Arabidopsis thaliana: one gene and its partners. The protein of the gene in region 2 interacts with the protein of the main gene of each other region in a pairwise test. Each region holds a gene or a part of one and is shown on either strand. Other genes may lie near its edges. The genes, in order: BTI3, RBL15, AT3G10260 and VAP27-1.

What was found.
Region 1: the proteins of RBL15 (region 2) and BTI3 interact in a two-hybrid assay, tested with the Arabidopsis thaliana proteins (one large-scale study listed by BioGRID).
Region 3: the proteins of RBL15 (region 2) and AT3G10260 interact in a two-hybrid assay, tested with the Arabidopsis thaliana proteins (one large-scale study listed by BioGRID).
Region 4: the proteins of RBL15 (region 2) and VAP27-1 interact in a two-hybrid assay, tested with the Arabidopsis thaliana proteins (one large-scale study listed by BioGRID).

What each region holds. Positions count from the first base shown.
Region 1 is NC_003076.8:16,632,604-16,639,821, reverse strand, and holds BTI3 (VIRB2-interacting protein 3), read right to left. Parts: upstream 3,794-7,218; 5' UTR 3,593-3,793; coding exon 3,391-3,592; intron 3,174-3,390; coding exon 2,993-3,173; intron 2,914-2,992; coding exon 2,772-2,913; intron 2,688-2,771; coding exon 2,618-2,687; intron 2,529-2,617; coding exon 2,350-2,528; 3' UTR 1,914-2,349; downstream 1-1,913. Other genes in the region: CHX18 (cation/H+ exchanger 18), read left to right, coding at 33-1,268; AT5G41590 (LURP-one-like protein (DUF567)), read left to right, coding at 5,926-6,207, 7,218-7,218. UniProt on the Arabidopsis thaliana protein: Plays a role in the Agrobacterium-mediated plant transformation via its interaction with VirB2, the major component of the T-pilus.
Region 2 is NC_003074.8:21,621,314-21,630,326, forward strand, and holds RBL15 (RHOMBOID-like protein 15), read right to left. Parts: upstream 5,389-9,013; 5' UTR 5,330-5,388; coding exon 5,288-5,329; exon of another isoform or gene 5,160-5,287; coding exon 5,109-5,159; exon of another isoform or gene 5,036-5,108; coding exon of another isoform or gene 5,012-5,035; intron 4,501-5,011; coding exon 4,335-4,500; intron 4,157-4,334; coding exon 3,853-4,156; intron 3,610-3,852; coding exon 3,577-3,609; intron 3,487-3,576; coding exon 3,395-3,486; intron 3,307-3,394; coding exon 3,233-3,306; intron 3,076-3,232; coding exon 2,981-3,075; intron 2,903-2,980; coding exon 2,833-2,902; intron 2,751-2,832; coding exon 2,581-2,750; intron 2,501-2,580; coding exon 2,458-2,500; intron 2,368-2,457; coding exon 2,308-2,367; intron 2,231-2,307; coding exon 2,156-2,230; intron 2,067-2,155; coding exon 2,061-2,066; 3' UTR 1,889-2,060; downstream 1-1,888. Other genes in the region: AT3G58450 (Adenine nucleotide alpha hydrolases-like superfamily protein), read left to right, coding at 719-986, 1,091-1,200, 1,417-1,535, 1,627-1,744; AT3G58470 (nucleic acid binding / methyltransferase), read right to left, coding at 5,757-5,908, 5,992-6,073, 6,557-6,715, 6,841-7,194; AT3G58480 (calmodulin-binding family protein), read left to right, coding at 8,028-8,031, 8,110-8,482, 8,567-8,681, 8,780-8,845, 8,932-9,013. UniProt on the Arabidopsis thaliana protein: Probable rhomboid-type serine protease that catalyzes intramembrane proteolysis. May function in senescence.
Region 3 is NC_003074.8:3,169,410-3,176,358, forward strand, and holds AT3G10260 (Reticulon family protein), read right to left. Parts: upstream 3,584-6,949; 5' UTR 3,160-3,583; coding exon 2,919-3,159; intron 2,845-2,918; coding exon 2,664-2,844; intron 2,580-2,663; coding exon 2,438-2,579; intron 2,336-2,437; coding exon 2,266-2,335; intron 2,174-2,265; coding exon 2,004-2,173; 3' UTR 1,813-2,003; downstream 1-1,812. Other genes in the region: AT3G10250 (histidine-tRNA ligase), read right to left, coding at 208-390, 741-846, 962-1,009; GYRB1 (DNA gyrase subunit B), read right to left, coding at 4,396-4,464, 4,559-4,689, 4,875-4,980, 5,064-5,117, 5,207-5,323, 5,400-5,513, 5,601-5,668, 5,750-5,864 and 3 more.
Region 4 is NC_003074.8:22,396,947-22,405,000, reverse strand, and holds VAP27-1 (vesicle associated protein), read right to left. Parts: upstream 4,892-8,054; 5' UTR 4,465-4,891; coding exon 4,365-4,464; intron 4,278-4,364; coding exon 4,207-4,277; intron 4,123-4,206; coding exon 4,041-4,122; intron 3,941-4,040; coding exon 3,825-3,940; intron 3,717-3,824; coding exon 3,561-3,716; intron 3,500-3,560; coding exon of another isoform or gene 3,480-3,499; coding exon 3,426-3,479; coding exon of another isoform or gene 3,332-3,425; exon of another isoform or gene 3,089-3,331; coding exon 3,011-3,088; intron 2,707-3,010; coding exon 2,593-2,706; 3' UTR 2,277-2,592; downstream 1-2,276. Other genes in the region: AT3G60590 (cytochrome P450 family protein), read right to left, coding at 5,248-6,269, 6,581-6,773. UniProt on the Arabidopsis thaliana protein: Part of a membrane-cytoskeletal adapter complex that forms a bridge between the endoplasmic reticulum and the plasma membrane. Associates with microtubules.

The DNA of each region.
Region 1 (7,218 bases), on a different chromosome or scaffold from region 2:
TAACTTAAATCTTTCTTTTGTTGTGTCCTCAGGTTCTTAATGATCAGACATTTGCCATAATGGTTCTAATGGCTCTCTTCACAACCTTCATCACCACACCAGTCGTAATGGCAGTCTACAAACCAGCGAGAAGAGCGAAGAAAGAAGGAGAATACAAACACAGGGCAGTAGAACGAGAGAACACAAACACACAGCTTCGAATCCTCACATGTTTCCACGGAGCAGGAAGCATTCCTTCAATGATAAACCTCCTAGAAGCATCAAGAGGTATCGAAAAAGGCGAAGGGCTCTGCGTTTACGCTCTCCACTTACGGGAACTATCAGAGAGATCATCAGCTATTCTAATGGTTCATAAAGTTCGGAAAAACGGAATGCCGTTTTGGAACAGAAGAGGAGTAAACGCAGACGCTGATCAAGTAGTAGTTGCTTTCCAAGCTTTTCAACAGCTAAGCAGAGTCAATGTCCGACCAATGACAGCAATCTCTTCAATGTCTGATATTCATGAAGATATCTGCACAACAGCTGTAAGAAAAAAAGCAGCCATTGTGATTCTTCCGTTTCACAAGCATCAACAGCTTGATGGTTCGTTAGAGACTACACGTGGCGATTACCGTTGGGTTAACCGGAGAGTTTTGCTTCAAGCTCCTTGTTCGGTTGGTATATTCGTTGACCGTGGACTCGGAGGTTCAAGTCAAGTCTCAGCTCAAGATGTTTCTTACTCTGTTGTTGTTCTGTTCTTCGGTGGTCCTGATGATCGTGAAGCGTTGGCTTATGGATTACGTATGGCGGAGCATCCCGGAATTGTTTTGACTGTTTTCCGATTTGTGGTATCGCCGGAGAGAGTCGGAGAGATTGTTAATGTTGAAGTGAGTAACAATAACAACGAGAATCAGAGTGTGAAGAATCTGAAATCGGATGAGGAGATTATGTCTGAGATAAGGAAGATATCTTCGGTGGACGAATCGGTTAAGTTCGTGGAGAAACAGATTGAAAACGCCGCCGTGGATGTTAGATCGGCGATTGAGGAAGTGCGGCGGAGCAATTTGTTTTTGGTTGGTAGAATGCCAGGTGGAGAAATTGCATTGGCGATTAGGGAGAATAGTGAATGTCCGGAGCTTGGACCTGTAGGAAGCTTGTTGATTTCGCCGGAATCTTCGACAAAAGCATCGGTTTTGGTGATTCAGCAGTACAACGGCACCGGAATAGCTCCGGATTTGGGTGCGGCTGAGACGGAGGTATTGACTTCTACGGATAAAGACTCTGATTGAATGAATCATTGGTTAAAAACAAGAACGGTTCGGTTCGGGTCAGGGGTTGGTTTACCATAGTTAGTGAAAAGTTGGTTAATGAATACGGTTTAATCAAAATGACTGTACTTGGCTTTCACTGTTTCATCTTTTCTTTCTTTTTTGTCGTCACTGTTCATCTTTAAGTTTTTTTGCTTTTGAAAGTAAATGGTTAAATGATGACAAAAAAAAAAATAATGGTTGTTGTAAAAAAAGTTATCTACTTTAATCGGAAAAATAATAAATTTAAAAATCCAGTCATTGAACATAAAACTAAAAACAGAAATGTCAGAAGTGGGGTTTGAACCCACGCCCTCTTACGAGGACCAGAACTTGAGTCTGGCGCCTTAGACCACTCGGCCATCCTGACTTTTGATATTGTTTTCTACTACAAACTATATATAGTGATTAACACCTAGTTGTCTACCTTACGTATGTTGCTTACTTTAAGTAATTATCCAGATTTGATGGTTATCATACCGAAAGCGTTTGGTATTGTGGAATCCACTTTTTGTGTGATTATTTTTGTCGAGAAATCGTGAAATCGCAATTTTGGCAAAAGAATTATGAACAAATTTTTTTGGAAAATTATCAAATTGCGTTTAACCTAGTTCATATACCAATCATTTTAGCTTTTCCTATGAACAAGATGTTGAGATGATGAAAGAGATGGAATGGGAAGAATATTATTAGTCAAATAAAAACAAGAAAGATTCTTATGAACTAAAGTTAGATCGCAGTAGCAGTGAAGAGCGAAAAACCCACGAAACAATTTGAGTTTATGTGTATGGACCAATCCTCAGACATGATGCAAAATTGACATGACGAATACCATCATGGAGAGCTGTTAAAAGGATGAGAAATTAACTAAGACAAATAACTAACAACAATAATTATCATCCATCCGTGTTCTCTCATAATCTAAATATTTTTAGTTAAAACCCCCAAATTTATAATGAACATAATAATAACAAGAGATCAAAGGGTTTATCAACCAACAGCTTCTAACAAAACATGTCTTGAACCATTACTACGATTCCAATGAGAGAGTAACTCACATTCCTTAATCCTTCTTCTTGTTCAGAGCTCCTCTTGGAATCTTGCTTATGACCTTACGCAATACCTTCTCATCAAGTACTGCATATTGCTTTTTGATCTCCCTCATCGCCTTCTCCCCATAGGCATCTACTTTGTCCTCATACTTCTCGTAGAGTACAGGAATGGTGAAGAGAAGGACAGTAGCTGGAAGCAAGAAAGAAAAGCTGGTTATCAAGATATGCAAGTATGATTCCTATCAGATTAAATGCAGTAAGATGTAAATGAATCGTTACCAGTGTAGAACAATGTCAAGAAGTTGTAGCAGCTGCCAATAATGGACAAAACCCACAAGCCAGCAATTACCTAAAACATGTGCAAGCAAGTATTAGCATTTATGAGGAACATAAGAAAACCGCTTTGCATCGAGGTAGATAACATGAACAATACCAGGATAAATTTCTTGACATCTTTTCCTGATGCAATGTTCCTAAGAAGGGTCAAACCACGATTGATTTCAATCCTTAATCCAGAAACAAGTTGAAGAATAGGATCTTCAGGGATGTGAACTTCCGGGATGTGAGGAGTTGACCTGAGGATAAGAACTCAGTTGATCAGGCAGTTATCTCATACTTAACACTTAACATATAAGGGATGTTGTAAGAACATACTTGTGGATGAATGTACAAGCATTAGACCACAAGAACAATGCTGCAAGAGCAAAAATCGCAAAGTGACAGAGAAAAGCGAGGAGATGGTATTCGAATAACTCGAATAAGACCCAAGACGCAGTTACAGCACCCAAGACTCCACCAGATACCTTCTTGTTCCTCCAAAGGAATATATCAGCAGCTACATGCAAACAATGAATCCAGATTCAACATAGTTTCTGAGTATTTCACAAGATTTAAGCGTACTTTCGAGCAAAGCAGACAATTAAGCACTCAAATACACTCAATTTTAGCTTCAAATTAGAGCAACATTCACTAGATCGAGCAAAATCACTATGTAAGATACAAAATCGAGTAAAATCAGAGTTCAAAGTGAAGAAATAGAGATAGATCCATACGTTTTCCACCACCGAGAACCTTGTGAACAGGTTTCTCCCTTCCGAAAAGTCGGTAAATCTTTGACTTGAAGGACGACGACGAAGACGATGTAGATTTCTTATCGTCGTCGGAATCGGACAGAGAAGACGAGTCACCGTGGCCATGGATCTTCTCAACAATCTTCTCCAAGATCGATTCCTCGTGCTTGTGGTCTTCCACCATTTTTGTTGATTCTACAAACCTCCGAGAAGAAGAAAAAAAAACCTAAAACTCTTTACTGATTGAAGAGTGTGGGAGGAGACTGTGACGAATAAAAGCGTGTGCTTCAGATTTAATCCCACCCCTTGATTTAAAACATTTAATCCAGTCCGTTTGATTCGGGTCTGGGCCTCGAGTAGGTAACCGTCCACGGTGGAAAATCAAACTATTTATTTTGTAGCAGATGTAACATATTTGGCGTGGAACTAACGGTCGTTAATTAATGTGAATATTCCCGATAACGTCTCCGTTAGTGGAACGTTAGATGTCGGCGGATAGGATCCAGCATTGGGCCCATTTATGGGATTGTTGGTACAGTATTAAGGCCCATTTATTACTGATCCATTTCATAGTAAAAATAAAAAATTGTTAGGCATAGTAAAATTGTTATGAGAATATGTTGATAGAATGAAAATGCTCCTAGATGAAAGATGATCATACACCTGTTGATTAAACATTACAAGGTCACAGATTATATATATTGACATCTCAAAAATTAACCAAGACGCTGCGTTTTGGAGATATTGGATTTCGAAGACCCGGAAGATAAGAGGAGAATAGTCAGTGACTCTCACGCACGTGGGGTTTGAATTGATGACTCTGGTCTCTTGGCCTCGAGATCTAACTTCTTCCGTGGGATCCAATTTTGAGCTGAGTCATGACACGTGTTACAACACGTGTGCTCCACTGTGTCGACATCACTCTTGAAGGTAAGATTTTTTGGAGTAATGGCAAACCCAGAGATCAACAAAATCAGGTTTGACAATGAAAGCTCACTTATTTATTTATGTACTTTTCCAATAATTTGATTAGTCCAAATATATTATTCTATTTGGATATTCATTCATATACATAATTACATACACATGCAGTGTTAGAAGTGAGTTTAATATGGAAGATTCGTCGTCTAGTGTGACATGAAATTCCACCATTTCATATAATTAGATTTTCTTCTTATATATATAATTTTATGCATCTAATCGTGTGGATGAGAATTGTCCTTCACCTAACCAACCTTTTCGAAGAAAAAGAGAGATTTGTTTCTTAATATATCTTCAGAAAGAGAGAGAGATTCGATGACAAAAAGGATAAGAGATTCTTGGAGACCTCAAAAATCTACTATCGTGGGTCTAAGAAGATTACGTGGCTCGTTTTAAGACCCTTGCATAATCTTAAAGTTCTTACCTATTTTTTTTTTTTTGTCGTAAAGTTCTTACCTAATACAGTAATATATTTTTATATTGTATAAAATATTATACATTAATTAATCAAAAAAAAATTCCAATTCAATCCTGAAACAGTGAAACCCATGCGTGCCAAAGCCAAAAATCTGACTACCTTGCTAAGTGCTAATCATTACCCAATCAGAGTTCATATCAGGAATATACCATATCCATAAGAGCTATATACTAATTACTTGCAAAAGTTTGCACCAAACCTTACTACGTACAAAAGAAAAGATCGTAGATGGTCAAAATTGTGGCTTACTATAATGGCTTATTATATAGTTATTTTTAGATAGCTAAATTTCTTGTATATACAATTTTGAGTTTTACGTATAGAAAAAAATATCATATTTGAGTTTGGTAAAAAGGATGAGTAAATAATTTGGAGATTTCAACCTTCATGTTAAGTTTTCATTTTCGATTAATTTTATCTAATTTTTTATTTTAATTTCTTTGATAACCAAACAATGTAATTTAGACTAATCCTTTTGGACTTATAAAACAAAAACAATTTACTATATATGCAAGCTGTAATAGGGTGATTTGAGTTCTAGTCCACTAAATGTAAATGTTACGTACGTTAAATTTGTATTTGTAATGTGATAAAAAAAAATCTAATGACCTGTATTCATTAACTTAAAAAAAATTCTAATTAACTTATAGAATGGTATAATATCTTATCATATTGTATTATTTTTCAAATAACACTAAAAATTTTGACTCATAATTAATAAAACGTTTAAAGCTTTTTAGGTGAAATTCTTATTTTTATATTTTGTAGAATAGTACAGTTTTGTCACTAAGTATTATTTGTGGTCGCATTTAAATATCAAGTAGCGATATTTAAAAACTTTGCAAGTTGATATAAAGAAGAAAAAAATTATAATATAATAAGACAATGATATAATATAACAAAGCTAATATCTTTCATCCACACACATATATATTAGATCTATATATATATATCTCATATGTATACCTAACCTTACCATATTTGTATTGAGAATTGAGATTAATTAGATCTGTAAAACTCTCTTAAAATAGTTAACCAAGAACACCAAAACTACAAAAATGTTCCCTTTCTTGAAGCAACGGTCGAGGTCGGTCCACGGTGAAGATGCACCGTCATCTACAGAGTCCACAGTCTCCGTCGCTGCCGCAGATATTGGAGGAGCGTGTACGACACTCACGGTGTGGAGAAAATCGCTTCTGGTGAGTTGTGAAGGATTCACGGTGATAGATTCGAATGGAGATTTGATTTACCGGGTCGATAATTATGCCCGAACCCGACCCGAGGAACTCATCCTCATGGATAAAGATGGAAACTCCCTCCTCCTCATGCATCGTACCAAGGTAAATATATGTACAAAGTATTTAGAATAAACTTATTTGAATATGTTTTAGAATATGGATCATTATATTCATTGTACACATCATCCTTCAAAATTACAATATCACATTTATTTTAGATTATTAAGAATCAAACCTCTACTAAATCTGTCTCACAGTTGTACTTATGAATCTGTTTTGTTAGCGTTGTAGTTGTAAATTAGTTGTGTAGATATTAGTTCTAGGTTGTAGTTATAAAACATCCAAATACTTGATTGATACAAAACAATAAATGGAGCAACAACAAAATGATTTATAAGAGTTGTGAATTTTTGGTGGAATTTACCAAAATGATATAGAAATACTTTAAAAATTGAAAGAAGTTTTCGTCGTCCTTACGGATCACTCTAGCGAAGTATCGGATCGATTTGCTTACAACCATTAGAATTGTGATAGTTTGTAAATAGTACTTAAGGTCGGCGATATGTTGATAATAATGAACAATGAATGTTGAGTATTAATTTCGCTGATAGACATGTTAGCCGATTTTGTAGAAGACGTTTTGTTTTTAGCCGATTGAAGATATGTATGAACGAAGATATTACGAATACTATAGTATATATATTATTAAGATTGAGTAGGACCAACTACACTACCGTGACACCGTCCACAATAGGTCACGTCAAAAGTTCATAAATATTCTGCATGTGGACAATTGTATTGGCAAGAATTTCGTGTAACCCGTTACATTCTTTGGGAATAGATTTACAAAATTTCATTCAGCATAAAAGTTTTGACTATAAAAGTATAATCATAATTTCATAACGACGTCTAGAATCTCCGAGTATTATATGTTTGACTTTTAGTTTCACCAAAATCTAGCTATGCCTAATTTCGTTTAAATTGATCAATTTTGACGTGACTACGTACATATGGATCTAGATATTTTTACTCAATGCAATTTTATAGACAAGTACTAGTTTGAGTTTAAAATGTTGTGTATATTAAAAACGATTTTCCTTTGTATTGTCCAGA
Region 2 (9,013 bases):
TGGTAGGGTTTGTGCTGGTTATATAAACTTATAAGAAAGGAAAAATAATAAGCTTTCCATATTTCACAGACCCGAGATAAACCAAACCATACCTGATCCAAAATAAAAATTGATTCAAACTAAACCGAACTAGGTTATTTCCAAAATAAGTTTGTTACGGTAATTGAACCAAACTTGTTGTTATCCGAAACTTTGATAGACCGACCATCTAGTCAATATATACTTACCACAAGAGGACCTGTTCTTTTGAAACCATTGTGGAAAATAAGATATCAGAACACCAAATATGACTTAGAACACTCAGCAAACAAGATCATTGAAAGACATAGAGATTCTAGAGGCTGACAACTCTGCCTTCTCAAAACTTGATTTAAGCTAATTCAAACCGAATTTAAATCGGTTCGTTTTGGGTTTATCTTTTTCTGAGCAGAACGAAACCGTAAAATTGAACCAAACTCGATTCTAAACCAAAAGCCTTTTCTGGATATTCAAAATAAACAGTTGTCTATGTTGAAAGAAAGACACGTGTCTATGACACAGGTGACGTGTCAATCCAGTATCCATCTTAAACATCTGTTAACACTCTTCATCTTCCACCTACTCAATCACACACTAGCATTACGTAACGTATGGTACGATCTAAATTATTATACATATCAAAAAGTGGCTGGAGCCGAACAAAAAAAACATACGATAGAGAAAACGTACGGAGTAAAAAATGGAGACTTACGTTGATGCGATTGGAGAGGACACGGCAGCCACAACAACGACGGCGGAGACGGCTGCAAATAAGAACAAGAAGAAGTTGAAAGTGATGGTTGCGATTGATGAGAGCAAGAACAGCTTCGATGCGTTGGAATGGGCTGTGGATCATCTCAGAGTTGTTATTAGTGCCGAACCGGAAACCGGTCAAGAAGGCGGTTTACTTACGTTGCTTCATGTTCACCCAACGTACCTTCAATATATCTATCCTTCTGGTGGAACTGGTGAAGAAAAAAACGCTTCTCTCTTTCTTTTATTCTCTATGCGTATATATATATTATATGGGATGTGACTGTATACAATATTGAGTGAGTTTGGAAATTCTTAGCTTCGGCGGTGTATGCGACAGATTCAGTGCCCGAACCAATGAGGAAAGCACGAGAAGAGAGTACGACAAACTTATTCACACGGGCATTGGAGATATGCCGAGGCAAAATGGTGCGCTATATGTGTGAAATAATTTCCTAAAAATTACCATCAAGACATGTCTAGTTTCAACTTTCAACATACTACAAGTTTGGAAAAAATTTCAAAAATACAATAAGTTTAGGGTCTATGAAGTTTACTTTCAGTTTAGGTTTATCAAGGTTTCATAAGAGTTTAGGTTTATCAGTGATCTTCTCTGTCTCTTGAGTTTATGGTTTTATGTTGTAGGTGAAGACAGAGACTATGATATTGGAAGGAGATCCTAAGGAGATGATATGCCAAGCCGTCGAGCAAACACATGTTGATCTTCTTGTTGTTGGTAGCCGTGGACTCGGCATGATCAAAAGGTACAAGTTTCATTTTTGGTCTAAGGTCTAACAACAAATTGAGATTTCTGGTTGTGACTATTCATTCATTCCTGGTGTTTGAGATATACAGGGCATTTTTAGGGAGTGTAAGTGACTACTGTGCCCAACATGCAAAATGTCCAATTCTCATTGTGCGACCGCCTAGAGAAACCTCAACTAGTAACACGAAGGAACACAAGAGCAAGTGAGGAAGGAAACCATGTTATAATAGCTTCTGTTTCATTCCGTTTGTACTCCGTAGAGAAGAAAAAAAAGTGTGCCGCCAATAAACAAGTTTACTTTTGCAAAGTAAAGTTCTACGTAGAGAGATTTTGCAAAAAAAGAAAATTTCAACTGATCTTTCGTTTGTATTAGATTCTAAACCGGAAAATCGGTTTGATCGTCTGGTTAAAGAACCTCCTTAAAGAAAACAGACGCTATACAGTTTCTAAATGCAAGTAAAAGACAGAATGAGAAACAAACGTTACAATACAAGCCAAAACAGTACTTTGCGAGTTGTTGGTGTTAAGCCTGCAAGTTTGATCACAGTGGTTTCGTTGTTAGTAGTGCCTAAACTCTAAAAATGAGTTAATAGAACTCTAGTTCGGAAAAGTTTATACCTGTTGGCTCATTAGGATCTCCACTGCTACGGTGAGATCATCGTCGGCAGCAGCAAGCGCCACTTCCACTTGTGTCTGAAGAAAATCCAGAGACTTTAAGCCATCTATTTACTATTGTTTTAGTTAACGTTGGTATGAAGCAAGAAACGTACCCTGTCAAAGCCCATGGCTACGAGTTTCTGGATTTGTTCTTCGGAAGCAGCAACACGACCCTGTGTTTTAACAGCTCAATAAGAGAAAAGCTTCTAGAAGCTGTACAAGGGTCTGGGTCTGAGCCGAATATCTTAGAGAAGAAAAGTAACCTGGGATTGGGGCAGGACTGCTGCATTAGCTATTGGCGCTTGTCTACACACGGTGAGACATGAGGGTGAGGTTGAAGAATGGCGTAATAAGCTGATAAATCATAAGCTGAAGAAATCAAATACCTTGAATCTGCCACGGTGTTGACAGTTGCATCAGAAAGGCGGTCTGGAGAGCTGCTATCTTCCAGCAGTCTAGCATGGAGGTTTGGGTCTGTTTCTCCAGCTGGAGCAGTAGGATCTCGGGCAGTGCTAAGAGTTCTACCTCTCCCCGGAAATCTACTGTCCTCAGAAGACTGCATGTGAAGTAATATGGTTAGATGTGAATGCATCCACCATGGTAAAGAAAAGAAACTAACAAGATTAGCATGAACGTACCTGATTAGATGCTTCCCTCTGTGGCAACCATGAAGACAAGGATCTCCAAGCATTTCCTGTAGAGAAACCACTGGTCAAAGAAAAAATGTCGTTAGGATATTCTCTGGGCAAACAGTCCAGTTTTTCATATGTTCTTAGGAAACCACACCTGGATGTTGTGTTTTGTGCAGAATAAGTGGGAATATAGCTGGAAGGATTCCCGCCAGTACACATAATGAACTTGGGTCGCCTAATGAAGCTAGACTGGAAGAGGACATAGAAACTGGATGAGTTACGATTAACTCAGAGAGCAACATCAAGAAGCCAGATCTGCATGAGTTTTAAATCCTCGATGGCCTCTCAATTAACAAAGAAAAGGAAACATCAAGAAGCCAGATCTTCTTAAGTACTTAGTACTTACCATCCAGGAGGCTGACTCAATGGTGGTAAAAAATGAAGAGCCAGGCATCAAGAAATTGAAGAGGCCATAAGAATCTGAAATCCAAAGCGACTAACAAATTAGCTCCCCATGAAAATGCAGGTTTAGAAAGAAGATGACAATGAAAAAGGTCAATAATCATACATGAAAATCCAGACAGGATGCCGCATAGATGCCCAAGCAGTGAAACATTTGTCATGAGAAGCTGGAATACTATTAGTAAGATCCACGGATACCTACACATGGATACAAACTTTTACATCATATGAGCAACAAGAAATGCAGGTGGGCATTAAGATGCCAACAAGCAAGACAATGGAGCTTACAGTTTAGCGGGAACGTTGAAGAGACCAAACACACTGCACAGAGAAATAAAGTAGCAAATGAAGAAATATGAGATGCTTCATGAATACAAAGAGTTGGCAAAAAATAGCCCACATTCAGAGGACATTAAACGCATATCTTATTAATATGTGTACAGACATGTGTAGCATTAACATGTTTGGAGAGAATGTATCTGAATTCTAACAAGAAGCTCATATTTACTTGCACTTTGATCTTCCAGAGTCTAAATCATTTAAGTAGCCCTTGAAAATTCTTACCTTCTAGAGGTAACTCCACTGAGACTTGTCTCTATGACAATCATAGAAAACAAGATTCCAGAAAATCCAATGGCGCATTCATTCATGAGATGATCATATTGGTAGAAGGGATTATATCCCGCCAAGGATGCTATAAGAAGATGCAATACGGCATTGGTCGTTGCCAGCAAAACTGTTAGGTAAAGCAAACGGACAGATCCCATGATTCTCTCCAGCTCAGAGCCCATAGGAACCAATGCCATCATGTTGAACAGAACATGAAGCAGTGATCCATGGAAAATAATGGCTGTATAAAACCTATAAACTGCACAGATAACGAGAAACGAGTGAACAAGAGGAAACAAAAAAAATCAGGACAGCTCAGGCATCTGAATTTAAAATTACCAGTTTGCAAGACGAAATAACTTTGGAAATGTAAGTTTTAGTGCCAATAGGAATATCTTCTACATGACATGCAAGCCTCAATAAATATGAGAACATACCTTGGAACCTCGATATGATTGCCGAGGGTAAGAAGCATACTTCATAAAAAGTGTCATATCCAGTTAAGAGGCATATCAGGTAAATGACCCCACAAACTACCACCACCGATGACGTGAGGAAAGGTATGGCATTCCACCACTGTCCAACTCGAGTTTGAACCCCAGCCTATGAGAAAATAAAGAATACATAACTAACCAGAAACAAGACCTTTACCAGTTTATAGGCTTATATCTAAACATTGTGCCGATTATCTACTTGGTTGGACATAGAAACCTTCTAATAATATTCAACCTTATGAATAATTTCAGAAATCTTCAAACAAAAGTATGATCCAGAGTCACAGTTGTATAATAGAATGGTGAAATTGTATTATTATACCTAAAACTTGAAGAACTAATGAAACAACACAAACAGAGGCTGCTATAACCTATTTTATGAAGAGAATGTTTCTACTTTCTACAACGAACGATTGGCCATGAAACTGAAGTTATGCCGAATTGAACTGCTAATTAGTTAACTCTACCGAATTAAGAGACGGTCGTACTGATTTCTGCTATCAGCCATAGCTCGTTCTCACTAGGAGTTTCTCGGTAATTAAACAAGCTAAAACCTCAACAATTTCTGACTAAGATCAAGGAATATAAGCAATCAGAGCAGAAAATTGAACAGATCTCACCTCGGTAACAATGTTCGGCCTCATAATCGAAGTCGCGAATCAGTCCTCTTCTCTGATGCTTGCGTGTGTTTGAATTTCAATGACCATGGAAGAAGACGAACAACTCTCGTTTCTCTCCCACCGTAAAAGACTCTTCTCGAGATCTTAACTTCTTCGCCCGGTTTAGCACTTTGATTCTGGTAAAGTTTGTAGAACCGGGTCGGACCAAAAACTTTTTATTCGCTGAGAGCAAACATCAATATTTCATCTCTTCCTCGCAAATTATAAAGTTGCAACGGATTGAATAATTTTTTGTGATGAGCTAATTCCGTATGTCATGTTGATTCATGATGCAATAAATCATTTTGGTAAATATGTTGAGATTTTGATAATAATGTAAAAGTATATCAGACTTGAGATCTGCGGTTGCAACAAGATACAGAGAACGATTGAACAAAGTGAGGTCACCAAGAGAACATTGATGAAAAATATCCAACACACATGAGCCGATGAGTGTTCCCTGCCACAAATGTTCCTCCGCTGCTAGAGGATAAGGGCTTGAAATGCCAGACACCTGAGATTGGTTAAGGCGCATCGTCATAAGAAATTAACAGCAACTACATGAACAGCAAAAGGGGATGACGTGAACGCGTGAGATGGATTTAAGCACATTGCTTTTTGTGATCAGAAGGGTAAAAGAACAATCACTGGTTTACTCAAGAACAGTCAAAAGACTTTAGAGAAGCAACTTACAAGCAAGTCACAACTAGCTGTCTTCTTCCAAGCCTCCTAATCTGGTACCTGGATCATAACTTATAAACAGTCGGAACTCGTTTCCGAGTTTGCTAGAGTGATGAGGCTTAAACACACAAGGGCGAACACCCAATAGCTCAGCTGCATGTTCTCTTTGCACCTCTCCTGCAAGACGTGAGATATCTCCTAGTTAATAAATCATAAGATCATATAAATTTGACTTGAGAAAACAAAAGTACCCATTGTACCTGTGAGAAGAAGCAACAATGAATCTACTGGGCTTGCGAGGAACAAAATTGTTTGACTAACTCTTTCCAGGCATTCCCTACTCTGCCAAGCATAAACGAATCAAGATCATTAACACGCTAACTAGAAGGTACTCAAAGACATTTATGCTTTGAAGATAGCAAGCAATATAGCACACAAAAACATCACAGATTAATGATATCCTCACAAGTCACAAATACTCCTACCCGGGAAATATTTCAAATGATAATCAAAACGCAGCAGAGAGCCACAAAGTATCCATCTTTAAGAAGTGACACTAAGCCATGACCATAACCAACTGATACTCCATTGTAAAGCTTACACTTTTTTTCTTTCATCTTGTCTGCTTTTGGACTTTCTATAATCTTTTAAAAGAAGATTAATTTATAAGCAATGCCTATCTAGCAGAAGCTTCTTGAATGTCAGAAGTTCAGAGCAGATTACACATCAGTCTCTAAACCTATCTATCAAGGGGCAGCTAAAAGATTTCCAAAATTCCCATGAAAGAACAGCATCGGAAAAGTTAAGAACTTGAAGAAACTTTACCAAGTAGGGAGGATCTGCAACGATTATATGGAAGCAATGTTTCAGCTGAAGCGGCAGATCTTCTGGTTCGTTGTAATCATAGAAAGTGAACTCTTTTCCATATCTCTCGAATCTCATATCGTACTCCAGCAATTGCACCTGAAGACTAGGATCTCTTTTCTGACTCAGCACAAATCAAAACCCGTCGCACAGAAATTTAGCATCAACGACAACAAAAGTATCGATTTTTAGCAAAACGGATTCGATACAAATTAAGGGTACTGAACAAAACTGATTAATAGTACCTTGAGATAAACGTAGAGAGTAGGGCAAGCAATGCAAGCGACTCTGCAGCCTGGAATTCTTTGAGAGAGAGTGACCACTTCATCTGCTACAGTCTCTGCAGTTTCAGGTTCGTACCAGAACTGGCTGAGTCTCCAATCCTCCGTAACCAGCTCCACTTTATCGGATTCTTCTCCTCCGGCGACGGAAGACGCCGGTGGCGTGCTCGCAACAGTCTTGTTCTGGTCTGCTAGAAATTCCCGAAGCGCCGCCAAAGCTTGAGAACTCAACACTAGTGGATCGTCATCTTCTACATCTCCGTCTCGTGGAGCTGAAACTTGACCGTTTAACTTCTGGAGCTCATCTTCTTTTTCCATTTAAGCTTCGGCGTCAGAATTCCGGGATAAAGTCAGATCCTTCGGAAAAGAGAGGACTTAACGGACACAGCGAATTAGAGAGGGCTAGGGCTTTGGTTCTGCTTGCGTTTATACAGAATTTTCATAAAAAGTCCCCAACTTTTGAATGTTTTCTATTGAAGACATGAATTGTTTTTAGTGTCTTTGATTGGTAAACTATTTACAGTATATATTGTTATGAATTAGAAAACAGTAGAAATCCCATAATTAGCTTCTGTGATTTTTTTTAATGGTACTTTAGGGAAATTATTAAAAATTGAAGATTTTCTTATGATTTTTGTTTGGGTCAAATTGATAATGTTTTATTTTCTGGGTTAACATAGGAAGTTTGAATTTTTATAGGGACCTAGTTTTAAAAGCGAAACATTGACGCCAAAATTAGGATAAACTGAGGAGGAGCCAACAAAAATAACAGAGCGATCGTGGAACAGAGGACTCTATTTTTCTCCCAGCCAATGGAACAGATTTGCATCATTGAGAGATTGAGATTTCATGAGAATCTCTTAAATCAGAAATGGCCGCCATTATCGTTCTCTCTCACGTTCCCATCTAATCCTAGACCCATTCAAAGCCTCCTCATTTCCTTTTTGGCTCTGTTGTTTTCTTCCATTAAAAGAATCTCTTCTCTGTTTCATTTCGTCTCATGGGTTTTGTTTGACTTCCAGGTTCTGCTTCTTCTTCTTCACCCTTTCTATGTTTTTGGTGATTCGATGTAATGTCTCAATGATGGAATTTGGATATTTGACATTTTCAGGACATAATAAGGAACTGCTTGAATCTGGTTTCAAGTGAAAATGGGTTAGTATTTGTGACAACTTCTATGAACGTTTATTTGAAGGCATTTTGATCTGAGGCATATTTGTATTGATTGTGCAGAGACAAAGACCATTCTTCGATCAATCAGTTTTAATGACATTGACTCGGATTCAACCATAACTGAATCACCTGAAGCTAGAAAGACGCTATACAACAGATCCCTTAGCGGTAAAGGGACACAACGATCAAGAATTTCTCCAGGAGATGTGGAGAACAATTTCTCTATTAAACCTTTAACTTTTATGAAAGAAGATGATAGATATAAAATGCGGATATGGAAACCTGTTTGCGAAAACGAACATGCAAAAGAATTTTTAGCCTTGTTATTAGGTGATGGAACATATCAAGCTGCATTAAAGTTACAGAAAGTTTATAGAAGTTTTCGAACCAGAAGAAGGCTAGCTGATTGTGCTGTAGTCGTTGAGCAAAGATGGTTCGTGGTGTTATGATTATTGGCATTGGTATATATAGAGAGGATAAAATTATCTGTTTAGTAGTAACTAAATGGAATTTGCAGGTGGAAGGTACTTGACTTTGCTGAACTTAAAAGAAGTTCTATATCGTTTTTTGAAATTGAGAAGCAAGAGACTGCAGTTTCACGCTGGTCTAGAGCAAGAACAAGAGCTGCTAAGGTAACATCAAGCCTATCAACTATGTTGGTTTGATGCACCCGTTTTCGTTCCCATTGCTCCAGTCTTTATATAATGATTTGACCATTTTTATCCCTAAGGTTGGTAAAGGCTTATCAAAGGACGAGAAAGCTAGGAAGTTGGCTTTGCAGCACTGGCTTGAGGCAGTAAGAATATTCTTTTACAATTTGTCTTTCTCTGTGGCTATAAGTTTTGTGTAAAGCCATGTGATCTTAATTTTCTAGCTTAACAGATTGATCCTCGACATCGATATGGCCACAATCTGCAATTCTATTATCATGCTTGGCTCCACTGTGACAGTAAACAACCCTTTT
Region 3 (6,949 bases), about 18 Mb from region 2:
GGAAAACAACAAACACATAATGTTCACAGGAAAAAGAAACCTTGAAAAGAACTAAGGCAGCAAAAGTGGAAGCCAGAAAACAAGACAATGCATATGAGGACTGTTTACTACAACACTTGAACAACAATTCATAGCAAAAGTATACAAGCAATAAAGAGACCCTAAAATGCAGAAATTAAAATCCATCTCACTCCAAACGAATCTTACTTGATTGAAGATGAGAACCATTTGTGTTTTGGACAGAAGCAACACCAGTTGGATGCATCTGACGCATGTGGTGAACCTGCTGCTCAAGCAACTTGTTGAATTCCATTATCTGGTGTTTAACCATTAGCCTAAGATAGTAAGCTTTGAAAAACTCCCGATTCTCTTCTTCAAGCTTCTGCCAAACTTTTAAACATAAAAAGAAAGCGTGTTATCATAAATCCCCATTTTTTATCATCGATACTCACTACTATACATATTCTCTCATATTTCATGATCTATTGAGCACTTCCTAACTAGGTTCTGACCAATAAGACCTTCTTGGTGACACTTGAACCAAACAATACATAAGATTTCAGTTTTAAGCAACAACAAAATCATTCACACATGATTTTGGCTACAGATGTCCTGAACTGGTAATAGATATATTAATACCTTTTCATTCACAGTAATGAATCCAGATTCATCAATGAACAAGGATTACAGAATCAGATGCTAATTTCTATGAAAAGAAAACAGAGTATTTGAGTGGCTACCTAGTTCTGTGAACCCAGGCTCGATTTTAGCCTGCTCTAGTAAAGTATCCACAACTTCTTTCTGATTCATGTAAAGTTGAAGGCATCGTTCTATAAGGTTTTGAACCTGAAACCAAAAGTAAGTTTTATTGAGTTGGAAGAGGACGAATTCAAATTGTCGCAGATTCAGACAATGAAACCAAAGGCCTTCCTTCATCATGATCTATTTTTGTTGTTATTACCAGTTGTATATCTTGACGTGAAACCCTTCTCACTGTTCCACTCGACATCTATGAGACTTTTGTAAACCAGACCTTGTTCCTGTCAGGCAAGAACCAGTATTAAGAGAGGGTACAAGGGAAATCGATTCGAATCTGTACAAGTTCAAAAATTTATATCAAATCATTAGAGGTTTTTATCTCCCACTAATGAAACAAGGTTCTTTCTCTAGGTTTCAAATCCAAAAAAAAACAAAAAAAAACAGAAAAAAACAGAGAATCAGAAATACAAAATAATTCACAAATAAGAACAGATTGAGAATCATCTATTTTACCCCAAACTAAACCTCAACACTTCGAATCGATTTCGTCTTCAAATACAACCGGATCACATCAAATCAACAACAATAACAAAAAAAAAAAAGAACATCAAAACGATCAAGAAAACAAATTCGATTAGCTTAAGAAACACAAATTTCATAAGCAAAAGAGCACCTTTAATCGGAGAAGATTCGAGAGAGAAAGAGGTGGAGATGGAACCTAACCTCACTTTGTTGATCGATCGTGGATCAATTTCTTTACTCCATTTTCTTTGATTTACTTCTTTTTATATTTCTTTCTTTTAAATTTTTTAATTTTAACATTCAGGCTTCGAAGCTCAGGAAGCTGACACGTGTAAAATGTTTGACAATGGTGGATCCCATACCTGTAGAGTTATCTGATCTTCTTATTAGCCAGCCGGTCAATATTAGTCAACGATTCTTACGAAATAAGAAAACCATACTTTTGATTTGTGAAATAATTTTGATTCAAACTTGTTTTAAGTCTTACATTTTTAGACATTGAGTTAATGAACTCTCAATCTACTTGTATAATTTTGACAGATATGATGATTCTCTTATTAACCAAGGTATTGACAAATACATGGACAAGGTATTGTTTAGTAAGGAAATACACAAAATCTACATGAATGAATAATATTCTCAAAACATTCATTTAGCAAACCATAATCCATATTGTTCTAACAACAAACAAGGTAAAATAAGAAAATGCTTGAGTGATTTAGTCACTCACGCTTCTTTAATCCAAACTTTCCACTTGGGATTCTACTGAGAAACCCAGTATCAAGCTTCTTGTAATGACTATGAAACTTCATGATCATAGAATCCATAAAACCATCCACTTCGTCTTCGTATCTCTCATACAGAACCGGCATTGTGTGTGCCCCAACAAACCCTTCACACACACACATAAAATGCATCCCTTTAAAGTCTTGTATTACTCAACTTCCAATCTCAAAAGAGGATACACTAATAAGAACCACTCACCGATATACAAAACAGTTAGGAAATTGCAACAGCTCCCGACCATTGCAGCTACCCATAGTCCGATTACAGCCTGAAAAATGATATTGTGATCAAAGTTTCTATCTTAGCATAGTAATGAAAGTGCTAATACATTATACAAACAAGATTGTGGTTATTGAAACAAACAACGCACCATGAGGAACTGTTTCAAATTCCCTTTACAAGCCAAGTCCTGAAGAAACAACAAACCGCGGTTAACTTCTTTTCCAACGGCCACACCGACTTCAGCAAAGAAATCCTTTGGAAGAACTAGGCGAGGCACTCTAGACTGTGAGCTGCTTTGAGACATTAAAGGACATTGTGTTAGATTGCAATCACAAGGTACCAATAATAATGACAACAACACTCCAACAAGTTACCGGTTTAAGAATCCAGAGGCGTTAGACCAAACGAATTGTGCAATCATACCAAGCAAGAGGGCATAGCAAACGAGAGACAGGAAATGGAAATTGATCCATTCAAAAAGCACCCAAATTGCGGTAGCTCCCATCAAAACACTTGCAGAGATCTTCTTGTTCCTCCATAACAACACATCAGCAGCTGAAGGAATCTCTCAATACTCAATTACAAGAAAAACCAATCTCATATTTATGTTCCTGTATACGAATTCTTACATTTGCCACCGCCTAAGACATGATGAATTGGCTTCTGGCGATCAAACAAACGGTTGAAACGAGAACTGACGGAATCTTCTTGTTCGAAGAAGGAGGAACCATGTTTGTTCTTCTGAACAGTCTCCGTGAAGTTATCCACCAAATCACCGATAACGTCCTCTACGATGTTCTTGTCAGGCATGATTCTGAAACACAATCGAAATCTGAGATTGCTCAATTTGCAGATGAAAGTTGACTTCATAAAAAATTGAATCTTTTGATCAGTTCTTCATACCCTAAACCCAAAACCATTTCGAGTAATCAAATTTGGTCTTAACAGTTCGTTGGTGATAATTACAATGATATAAAACTTAGATCTTAGTATATTTGGCGAGAAGACAAGAACAACAAAAAGACCAGAAATTGAAGAGCAAGAACGAGACAAAGATGAAGATGAGTAAGAGTAAACCTGTAGGAACTGGAGAAGAAGAAGAAGAAGAAAAACCTTGGTTGTTCTGTGAATTTCACCCAAAAAAAGTTGCTTTCTTTCGTTGAAGATTCTCTCAATCACGAAGAAAGATGGAGGGCGGAAGTGAAACAAGAGATGGGATTGGTTGTGTCGAATAATTGAATTACAAAAAAATGTTTTTTTCAAAATGTGGGCAAATGTTGGAGTAGTGTGTAGTAATAATGGATAGGACTTGTCTTCCCACGTGTAGCTCATGACAATAAACAAATTATTTTTTAAGAAGTATTATTGGACGCCAAAAAAAGAGTTGAAACGTATCGTTTGTATTTGCAAGACAAACAAAAAGAAGTTTTCTGAGTAGATTTATCAACCGTTACAAGCCTTGTTGAAAATAAAAAAATTTCATTTATTCAATGAATTAAAGTCACACTAATATGGTTGACTGGTTGTTACATGCGTGATGCGTTCATAACACTGCTTTAGGTTGTTCAGGAAGAACAAAAATCATGTTTAATTCACTATATACCTACCAAATCGAAAAATAAACTTGTTAATTATCGATCACTCTGCGATCGCTAGTAAAACATCAGTCAAAACTTAACCTCGAATACAATTAAAATCAATACAACAGGCAGAGAAGATATTCATTGCACAATAGTTACCTTCTCATCTTCCTTCTAATCATTAGTTTTAACTTCGTCGCATGCATGATTTTCAGGAATGCCAAATTGTTGAAGTCATAATATATAGTAAATACCTAGTGAATGCAAATTTCTCTTGTCTCTAGAAAAATTCTAGTTCCAATGGAAAGAAACGCCCAACAAAGAGCCTTGTGAATTGCTAAATTTTGACATTGAAAGAGATAATCCTAACAATGAATTTTGTCCTTTATAGGCCAGAAGAAGAACAAAATCCTGTTGGCCTGTGACTATATGATTTAACCTTGAAATGATGATGTCTCCCTTTGCATTTCACCAGAGTCGTTTCTTTGTTGTTTGTATATAGCTGAAGCAATAACTATAAGCTGTGTTATATGTCGAGATTCTCCAGATTCATCCTAGTCGCAGCACTTTTGATGAGTTCCTTCCTGACATCGACCTGAAACATACACAGAACATAACATTGTCACGATGAGTTATGCCAGTTTATTGACTATTATCATGAGTCCGAGTCTGGCAATTCATTGGCTTACCCGAGCACCCATCAGAGATGAGAAGACCATATTCGTTTCTGCTGCGTCGTCAACAACTAGTTGCTTCAATATCCTTGTATCTGGATTCATCGTTGTTTCCCATAGCTGCGCAGGCATCATCTCACCCAAACCTGCAGATGCAAAAGCAAGAAACATTACATAGAATCCAATAGTTGAGACTAATCTAGATTTCGTTATGCACACACTCAAGAGTATCTTAATAGCTAACACATAACAACTACTATACATTACTTTTCATAGTTATTTATCCTTTCCAAAAGAACACATTCATGATGTGAGAAGTAGGATGTTTTACCTTTGAACCTCTGAATGTTGTAGGATGCGTTTCCAGGGAACGAAGCAGTGATTTTTTTAAGAGCTGCATCATCGTAGCAGTAGTGCGCCTGTTTCCCCCTCTCAACCTGATCGTTTTCACAGAGAGACTAGCTTTAGAAAAAAATTCCGTTCAATCTGAAGCATAAGATTATAGATACTAAGAGCTTACCTTGAAAAGAGGTGGAACACCAACGTATATGCAACCCGCGTCAAACAAGGCTCTCTGTAGAAAGTAAATTTCATTAAATTTCACATAACTCAATCAGCAATCAAGGCTACTTCAACTAATGTTTTATCAAACTAAACTAGTACCTGATATCTGAAGAAAAAGGTCAACAGAAGTGTCCGGATATGTGCACCATCAACATCTGCATCTGTTAAGATGATAATTTTATGGTAACGCAGATTCTCCTTGTTAAAATCTTCTCCCTGAAATAAGTTTTATGTCAAACTGAGTTTTCCGAACATACCAACAAACAGCAGGATATGAAAAAGGATATATTACCTTAACTCCAAGACCAAGGCCAAGAATAAGATTTTGAATTTCTTCGTTCTTATACATTGCTGCTTCATCCTTTCTCTCAATATTCAAAATTTTGCCTCTCAAAGGAAGAATTGCCTGCATAGATCGAAATACAGTGTTACAGACTAACAAAATAGAAGCAGAGCCTGTTAGTGACACGCTGAGCAGAATGATTTTTTTTACCTGGAAACGCCTGTCACGACCCTGTTTCGCGCTGCCACCAGCCGAATCTCCTTCGACAATGAAAATCTCTGGTAGCATAGGAGATAGATGTCAATAAACTGACTAACTTTCACAGCTTACAAGGCACTTTCATATTGGTTAATGCATACCAGATTCTGCAGGATCTGTAGATGAGCAATCTGCAAGTTTCCCAGGAAGTGAGGATGACTTCAAAACGCTTTTTGATCTTACCAACTCCCTAGCCCTCTTGGCAGCCAGAGCAGCCTAAAAAGAAAGAGTCAGCAAGGAAAATCCATGGTCATTTGGTTGAAGTTAGTAACTAGACATACTGTAGGAGACACATACTCAATCAAAGAATACGCTAATCACAGATATCAGAAAATGCTTCTCAAGGGATAAAACACATGTTTGAGTGTTTGAGTGCATGTGTGTGTAGGTGAAGATGTGACAGTATGAGCAGGTATTTCAATGTCGCACCTTGTACGCATTCAAGGATTTGGAAATAATGCTTTCAAGTACATCCGGATGCAATTCCAAGTACTCCGTGAGGTACTCCTGGACTGATTGGTCAACAATTTTTCTCACCTCTGGATTTCCTAGTCTTGTCTTTGGGACACAAAAAAATTAAAATGATCAACAGAATCCAAGAAAACTTATGGCCTGCTGACCAGAGATTGTTGACAAAAATGAGGGTCAACATATCATTATGCTCCCTAGTACCTTTGTTTGACCTTCAAACTCAGGGTTCGGAACCTTGACTGAGACAATGCAGGTCAATCCTTCCCTAACATGTTCCCCACTTAAGCTAATATCCTTTTCCTGAAAACATAACCAACAACAATAAGTTACACTATGAGTTAGCAACCTTTTCAGAACAGGTCAAGATAAATGCTTAAATGTAAGCAAAAAACAACCTCTATAACTGGCATGTTTCACAGTTCAATCATGGTAGTACATTATTAATTGTCCGTAAAGCATGTCTTTTAAGTGCAGATGAGTATTTAAATTTAGTCTCAATCCATGGAGAGGAATAGATAATATAACCCTTGACCTACATTATCTCAGAAGACTCTTTCAACCACAATAATGACCAACTAACCGCAATTAGGCATTTGCAGTTTCCATGAAAAAGGAGGAAAAGAGAAGGGGAAAAAGGCTCTAAGCCTCTAAGAGTGGAAATATAAAGTGGAAAAAACGCAGTTGGTAAGTTGTATCCCACCTTGATAACCTTTAACTTTTTTGCAAGGGAATTTAGAGTTCTTGTTAATGAAGCCTTCACACCTTCTATATGTGTCCCACCATCTATGGTCCGAATACTATTCGCGTATCCCAGCATCGTGTCTGAATAG
Region 4 (8,054 bases), 780 kb from region 2:
GAAACCTAAACACATGAGAGAGTTTATAAATAGTAGTCGGTCGCTGCTCTTCAATTATCTTCTCGAATCTAATCGATTGATTTCTCATTTGGATTCGTCAAGAGAATCACTGAAGCGTTTGTGTTCCAAGTAGAAAGATATGGCAACTCTTGAAGATTCTTTCCTTGCTGACCTTGACGAGTTATCTGAGAATGAAGCAGAATTGGACGAGAATCATGGTGATGTTGGAAAGGAGGAAGAAGATGTGGATATGGATATGGCGGATTTAGAGACACTTAACTATGATGATCTCGATAGTGTTTCTAAGCTTCAGAAGACTCAGAGATATGATGATATTATGCACAAAGTAGAGGAGGCTCTTGGGAAAGATTCTGATGATCATGAGTATAAGCTTATTGTGGATTGTAATAAGCTTTCGGTTGATATTGAGGATGAAATCGTTATTGTCCACAACTTTATCAAAGAAAAGTACAAGCTTAGGTTTCAAGAGCTTGAGTCGTTGGTTCATCACCCTATTGACTATGCATGTGTTGTCAAGAAGATTGGCAATGAGACGGATTTGACTCTTGTTGATTTTGCTGGCCTTGATCTTACTCCAGCTATTATCATGGCTATTTCAGTTACTGCTTCAACTACGAAAGGGAGTGCACTGCCAGAGGATGTTTAGCAAAAGGTGTTAGAGGCTTGTGATCGGGATTTAGATCTTGATTCCGCAAGAAAGAAGGTCCTTGAGTTTGTTGAAAGTAAGATGGGTTCTATTGCTCCTAATCTTTCCGCCATTGTTGGGAGTGCTGTTGCAGCCAAACTCATGGGGACAGCTGGAGGTTTGTCAGCACTTGCTAAAATGCCTGCCTGTAATGTTCAAGTTCTTGGCCACAAGAGGAAGAACCTTGTTGGGTTTTCTTCTGCAACGTCTCAGTCCCGTGTGGGTTATCTGGAGCAGACAGAGATTTTCCAAAGCACGCCTCCTGGACTTGAGGCTCGCGCTGGCAGGCTCGTGGCTGCAAAATCAACTTTGGCAGCTAGAGTTGATGCTACTAGAGAGGATCCGTTAGGGATAAGTGGAAAAGCTTTCAGGGAGGAGATCCGTAAGAAGATTGACAAGTGGCAAGAACCTCCTCCTGCAAGGCAGCCTAAGCCACTTCCTATTCCTCATTCTGAGCCGAAGAAAAGAAGGGGTGGTCGCCGTCTAAGAAAACTGAAAGCAAGGTATCAAGTAACAGATATGAGGAAGCTGGCCAACAGGACGGCCTTTGGTACACCTGAAGAGAGCTCCCTCGGTGATGGACTAGGAGAAGGTTATGGAATGCTTGGACAGGCAGGAAGCAAGAGGCTGCGAGTATCCAGTGTTCAGAGCAAGCTTAAAATTAATGCCAAGGTCGCCAAAAAGCTTAAAGAAAGGCAGTATGCGGGTGGTGCAACTACCTCTGGTTTGACATCAAGCTTGGCTTTCACTTCTATGCAGGGAATAGAGTTGTGCAATCCTCAGCAAGCTTTAGGATTAGGAAGTGGGGCTCAAAGCACTTCTCAGAGTCAGGAACCTTCTCGAAGCTGAAGAAGATCTAAAATATGCAAGACAGAGATACAAGCTTACAAGTGTTGAAAAGCCGAGCAATAAAAGTGTAAAAATGATACAAAGGTGGAAAGAAACTGCTTTCTCTATCTCATGTCTGTTTTAAGGTTTCTTCGGTCACTAAAGAGACAAAAGACATTGTTTGTTTGATCAGTCTTTGAATCACTTTTTGAAACGAAAATAAAAATATAGATGTACTCTCATCGTTTTAGTATCATCGATCATCATCATAAACAAACCAGAGAAACAAGAAACAGAGAGAAATAGTCTCATCGTTATACTCTCAACACATATAAAAACGTAAATTTGTTTTATCTATAATCTTTGATCAATTCTCCAAAATTTCTTCTTCTTAGCGCTGCTATCTGATCCAGGTAGTTTCTATTTCTCGCTCTTTTCTCTTGTAGTTTCTCCCATTTAGTATCTTTCTTTGCTTCAAGTTTTATTTGTGTAGCACGTCGGGTGTATGGACCAGACTAGGACAAATGAATAGTAAACCAAGAAGATGCAACAGGGTAATGGAGAACCGAGTCTTGTTGGTCTATTCGTTGTCCAAGTCCATGGTTCTTAGATGGAAACTAGAAGAAGATACTAAAAGTTGCACATGATTTAGCTCTTTCTTTCCTCATCAGTAAAAAACATAAGCATGAAACATTGCCGTTGTAGTTCATCTCTGTTCAATATTGATGTAAGAAATTATGTGGTAAAGGAAGAGAAAAGCATTTGGAACAAACATATACATACACTGACTAATGCAGACACGGAGGAAGGTTTGAGATGGAAAATGAAGTTAAGAAATATAAGAGAATTAGTGGAGAAAGAACCAACGCAAAGTCATTTGGATTACAAAAGTTGAAAAAAACATAGCAAACTGAGTTACGAAACACAAATCTTCTAGGACACCTTTTTAAGGCGAAATTGACAAATACAGAAGAGAAAAAAATGTCCGACTGAAAAGAGTTAAAAGTCTTTTTTTTTTCCTTCGTGGCGGGTGAGGGATTAATTTCAAGGTGGGTGGTTTATGTCCTCTTCATAATGTATCCCAAAATTAGACCGATGAGTCCGACCAAAAGAACGTACATGAATGGGATACCACCACTTTGGCTCTTTTTGCTTTCACGCCTTAACTGATCCTGCCACATCAAACCAAAATCTTTGTCAGATAAACAATCTCAAGATTCTAAACTAAGCTTGTGGAATATTCATACAAGACTGGTTTTGATTAATGGTATGGTGAGATAAGTCAACCATGGAAACAGAAGCCAATGCAAAAGATAAGTTAAAGCATCTCTTCACAAAAACAAATGATGACTTTAAGCATACCTTCTCAAAACCATGGAAAAACACTACAAACGCTACAGATTGCTAATCATCAAAGTAACAAGAGCATGGAGGAGATTCAGAGATAATAAAGGATCCAAGTGAGAGTTGTTTTACCAGTTCTCTTTGAAGTCTGTTGTTCAGTTGAATGGCAGACTGTTTTTCTTCGGTTAGCTTGGTAATGAGTGCCCTCGCCTGAAATCATACAAAATTCAGCGGTAATAGAAATAATGTAGAATGACTGAAGCAAAATAGTGTATAGTAAGTGGTAACTGTGTCAAAATAACATCTACGAGGATTTGGTGCACAAAAAGACAATTAATGGACGGCTTGAGCACTGGACAGGCTTCTAAAAATGTAGTGAACCTTTTAAGTAATCAACATAAAGAAAGATTCTCAACCTAGTAAATCAGCCTAAAAGGCAACTTTCCAGTAAAGCTACCTCCAAAAATCAGTTTTAAACAGAGCAAAAGCAAAAGATGATGTCACATGGTTTTGACGGTGACAAACTTGGAAGAATTGTGAAAAATACCTCAGATGTGTTTTCTTGATGTCCAGCCTTGTTGTCCACGATAAATCTCTCAAACTAAAATTAAACATGAAAATCTACATATAAATATGTCTACCAGAGAAACTGAAATCTAAACTTAAGTTAACATGTACTAACCGAAAATTCAGAACCATGTCCATTATCTGAGACAGAAGCCCTGGGTGAAGAACCCTCTTCAGATCCTTCGTGAACCGGTGATGGTGGTCGTGGTGGAGCAACATAAGTAACTCTCAGTTTAGTTTCCTCAACTCGATGTCCAGCCTCTTTGCTAAACTGCAAAATTTCATTACAAGAAACAAGAAAAATACTGCTTTTAAGTAAAACCAACACCAAACTGTAACCATCCATATGAAAACTGTAACCATCCATATAATAATATACCATCTCAGGAGTAACTTCCTTGGCTGTGACACCAGGACTAGCTATCACACCTTGAAGCAGAAACTTGTCCTTGCACTGCATATCGGAAGGAGCTTCCTTTTGAGCTTGCATGGTCACTATATCAAACCAGACATTAAGAATTCATCAAATTCCCTAATCCAATAACCAATTTAGCAAATCGAAATTAACAAAAAAAAACACAAATCGAGAACAGACCAAGAACTTCGCAAGTAGACCTCGGGAGAACAACTCCAGTATTAGGCCTAACACAATACTTTTTCGGATTCGTCGTCTTAACCTAAATCATCACGAGAAGCCTCAGAAACACGAAACAATTTTTCTCGATTCCAAAATTGATAAGGCTAAATAAGAGAATTATAACCTTAAAGGCAACATTATTGTCGGTCTTGTTCGTCAAATAGAGAGAGCAAGAGATCTGCTTCTTCAATTCAACTACATCAAATCAGAGAAGAAGCTTAACACATAGATCTGGGGCAATAAGACATGCGAAATATTGAAAGAGTTATGAATAAAGCTTACAAGGGAATTGAAGATCGAGAGGCTCGACGGTGAGAAGCTCGCTGTTACTCATCCCGATCAGATCGCGGTTACTCATCCCAATCAGATCGATGTTACTCATCCCGATCAGATCGCCGGAGATTCAAATCGATTTTCCGAGAGAAAAAAAAAACGGTTTCCCGGCGATTAGATTCGTCCCGTGACACCGTCTCCGGTTCAGAGAGAGAGCAGTCGTCGATCGAGAGAGATTAGACAGAGCTAATGAATAGAGTGGGACATCGCTATTTGTCTTGTTCATTTCTCAAGGGTAATACTGTCAATTCATTTAAAATTGATAAAAACGCAAACGCGCCCTAATCGCAAACGCGTGGAGATGAATTACAACAACAACAATTCAACTAAAGTAAAGAATATACATTATAATCTGATCATATTTCACAACGTAACGTATAACTTTCTTTTTTTTACTGTTACCAAGTACTCACCAAATGCAAAAACCTATTACTTATAAGGCTATAACACAGTACATATATTTTTCTTCTTCTTTCTGACATGACTTAGTAAAAATACAAAACCATATAAACTAGTCTTATTCGACATTATGCTCTACTTTCTTAAGAGAAACATTTTCATCATTTTTCGTAAATTCTTAAATGTCTTTCTTTGACAGGAATCTGTGTCAACCTTTGCATATTCTCAACCTTAACGTCAACCTATCAGCCTTTAATATTGAAATGAATAACATCACATACCTAACTAAAAGAGCGAATATGATCATAAAGAATATGTGTTTTTTTTTAATCCTTATCACCAACCCACGAATAATAAAAGCTATACAGTGAAGAAAGAGTTACAAATCTTTGACATGACTTTAAAAACTAAACGAAGAAACATTTATCTGTCTTTACTTAGAAGCAACAGATTGTGGTTGCTGACCTGTTGTTGTTCTAGATGCAAAACCAGCAAACCAAGCAACTCTCATGAGTTGCATTCCCAAGATCAATACCCACCAAGAGACAAGCCCACGAAGCATATGAACCACCCAAACCGGTGCGTTGACCTCTGCACTAAGTGTCAACCCTCTCATCAGTTGCAAGATTCGGTAAGCCTCGTAGACAACTGGTGTGACTAGCCAGACCGGTGATTGCCAGTGCCATGTGAGGATCTCTGTTAATGTCTGAACAGCAAGGAGAATGAAGTACGGGAAGAGGATAACAGCGGACGAGAGGAAAGGAATCTGGGGCTGGAGAGAAGCGAGAAGGCCAGATTGGGATCCGAAGAGAAGTAACATTGGGACTAGAAACCCGATTATGAGTGAAAACATGTTCCAGAACTTATAGCTAAATGGTGGTTTGCTGTTGCAGGACTGTGATGGGTCTTTAGGACGTGCGCAAGAATCAGCCATTAAGAGGAAAAGGGTTGCTCCAAGATTGAAAATGCAATCTAGACCGATCAAAGAAAGTAGACTAACCACGTTGGAACCGAGAAAAACCGATGACAACGGAAGCCATAAAGTAGGCGCCATACCGCTTGTGAGGAGAACAGATGGACCCAAAAGCCATATTGGCCATTTAAGTACCTGAACTTGAGAATTAGTTCGTTGTTGCGCTGACATATCTACTTTCTCTTCCTCTGCACTCTCGGAGACAATAGATTCGAACACATTCGCGGTTTTGTCCAATACTATATCAGCAGCTTCTTCTGCAGAAGCATGAATGAAAGGTGACGGTTCCCACTGAGACAGCTTTGGTGTGCATAAGACACGGAGATTTCTGAAACGGAAATTACAAGATCCAGTCTTTAGTTTCTGCAACATATTCGGATTCTTGAGACGGACTCTTGGAGTCATAGTGCATAGAGACTTTGTAAGAGATACCATTCCTTGGCTCACCATTGAAGTCTCTAAAAAAAGCTTCAAACTCTGTTCTTAACATAAACAAACAAAACAGAACATTTCAAAATCATCAGGACCAAGACGATACATGGACACAGGGGAAACACTTGAAGCTACTAAACCGGATAATCGATATCAAATCAATACAAGTCAGAATCAAAACCGGTAAGTGAAGCAATTAAGCATAAGGAGGGATAAACCAAATTGAAGTCGATTATCAAAATATATACCGATCAATTTTACCATGAATTCTCGGGAAGGTAATCACGATAACATATAAGGAAATCGAATTAAAGAGTAAGAAGCCGATATGAAATCGGAAAAATAAAATAAAAACACTCACCGGCGAATCGCAGAACGGTAAGATCCCTAATCCGTTGGCTGTTTCTTCTCTTAACGTCTCCGGAGAGAAAAATCTTTAGAATAAACTTGAATGTGACGTGTTTGGATACTAAGATAATCATGTCCGGAACAAAAATACAAAGAGCTACTATGATTATACGACGACGTGTTGATAACTTGAATAGTCGGCCCATCCTTTTTAAAAAGCCCACTATAGATCGGTAGCTTATGTTTATATTTTGTTATAATTTTTGATAAGGAGGATTTACGTGTCTTCAAAAAGCTAAGACGATGGCCATGGTGGCACTGTTCACCGTTGACGTTGTTTTTGTCACTGCCAAATGAAACGTCTTAGCCCGCGTAGTTCTTTTGGCAGTTGGAGTGGTCTAATCTCGTACTTTCCGACGTCTCTTTGTCCCTGCAGGGAGTTTATGCATTATTTTGGTCGTATGGATTAAAGGTACGTATGGAATGGTAGTAACAATGATAACGAGATTTTGATAATAATGATGGTGTGAACAGAAATGTAAAAGTGAGTCATTCTCATTGGCTTCGGACAAGCAAATCTAGTGAAATGTTACTTTACCAAGTCACGACACTATCCAAAAACCAGACTTATTGAAACCATTTGTTTGGCTACCAACTTTTGTATTGCACTAATTCATAATCGAGATTTACAATCAGAATGGATCATGTAAAAAGTTACTTATGAGTTTTTGTTTTCTTTTAATTTGGAATCTCTTACTATGATTTAATTCATGATTTTGTATTATTTTATTTTTCATTTATGCATACATTTTTTTTTTATTACAAAAAGGGTATTTTGAAACGATTTTGCGCTTGGTACACTAAGAATTTAGGGTTTGGGAAAGGAGACTTTGAGAGTTGAGACGTGACTTCAAGAAAACAGGACAGAGACGGAATTTTGAGAAGCATGCATCTTTTCCTCCGTTTTAGTCCTTTTGAACTTGAGACTCGAAAGAAAACTGCAAGACAAAAACTTGAATTTTACTATTAAAACAAGTTCTAATTAGTCTAGTTTGGGGTATGGGAACAATAAGACAGGTAAAAGTATATATTAGAGAGCTGTCCGATTTAGTTGACTGTTCATTAAACTTTTTTTTTTTTTTTGATTGATGATGACTTTTTTTTTTATCGTATCCATAATGTACCACATATTTTGTTTATCAGAAAAAATTAATACCGTTTGGTATCTCTATCTTTTTACCTATATTAGTATATTACAGACCTTTTTCTTGCCACTTCTGTTATTTTGTTGTCGTTTTTTTTTCATTTTGAAAACTTTTATCATTTCATGTCACTGATCGTATCTACTAGAATTTTAACTGGTCCAAGTATTAAAGCATGTACACGTTATCCATTAATCAATTGATTCAGTTATTTGAGTCACAATGTAAGTCGTAATTCAAAGCGGTTAATGTTCTTGAAAGTTACTTTATGAATCAGTTGACCAT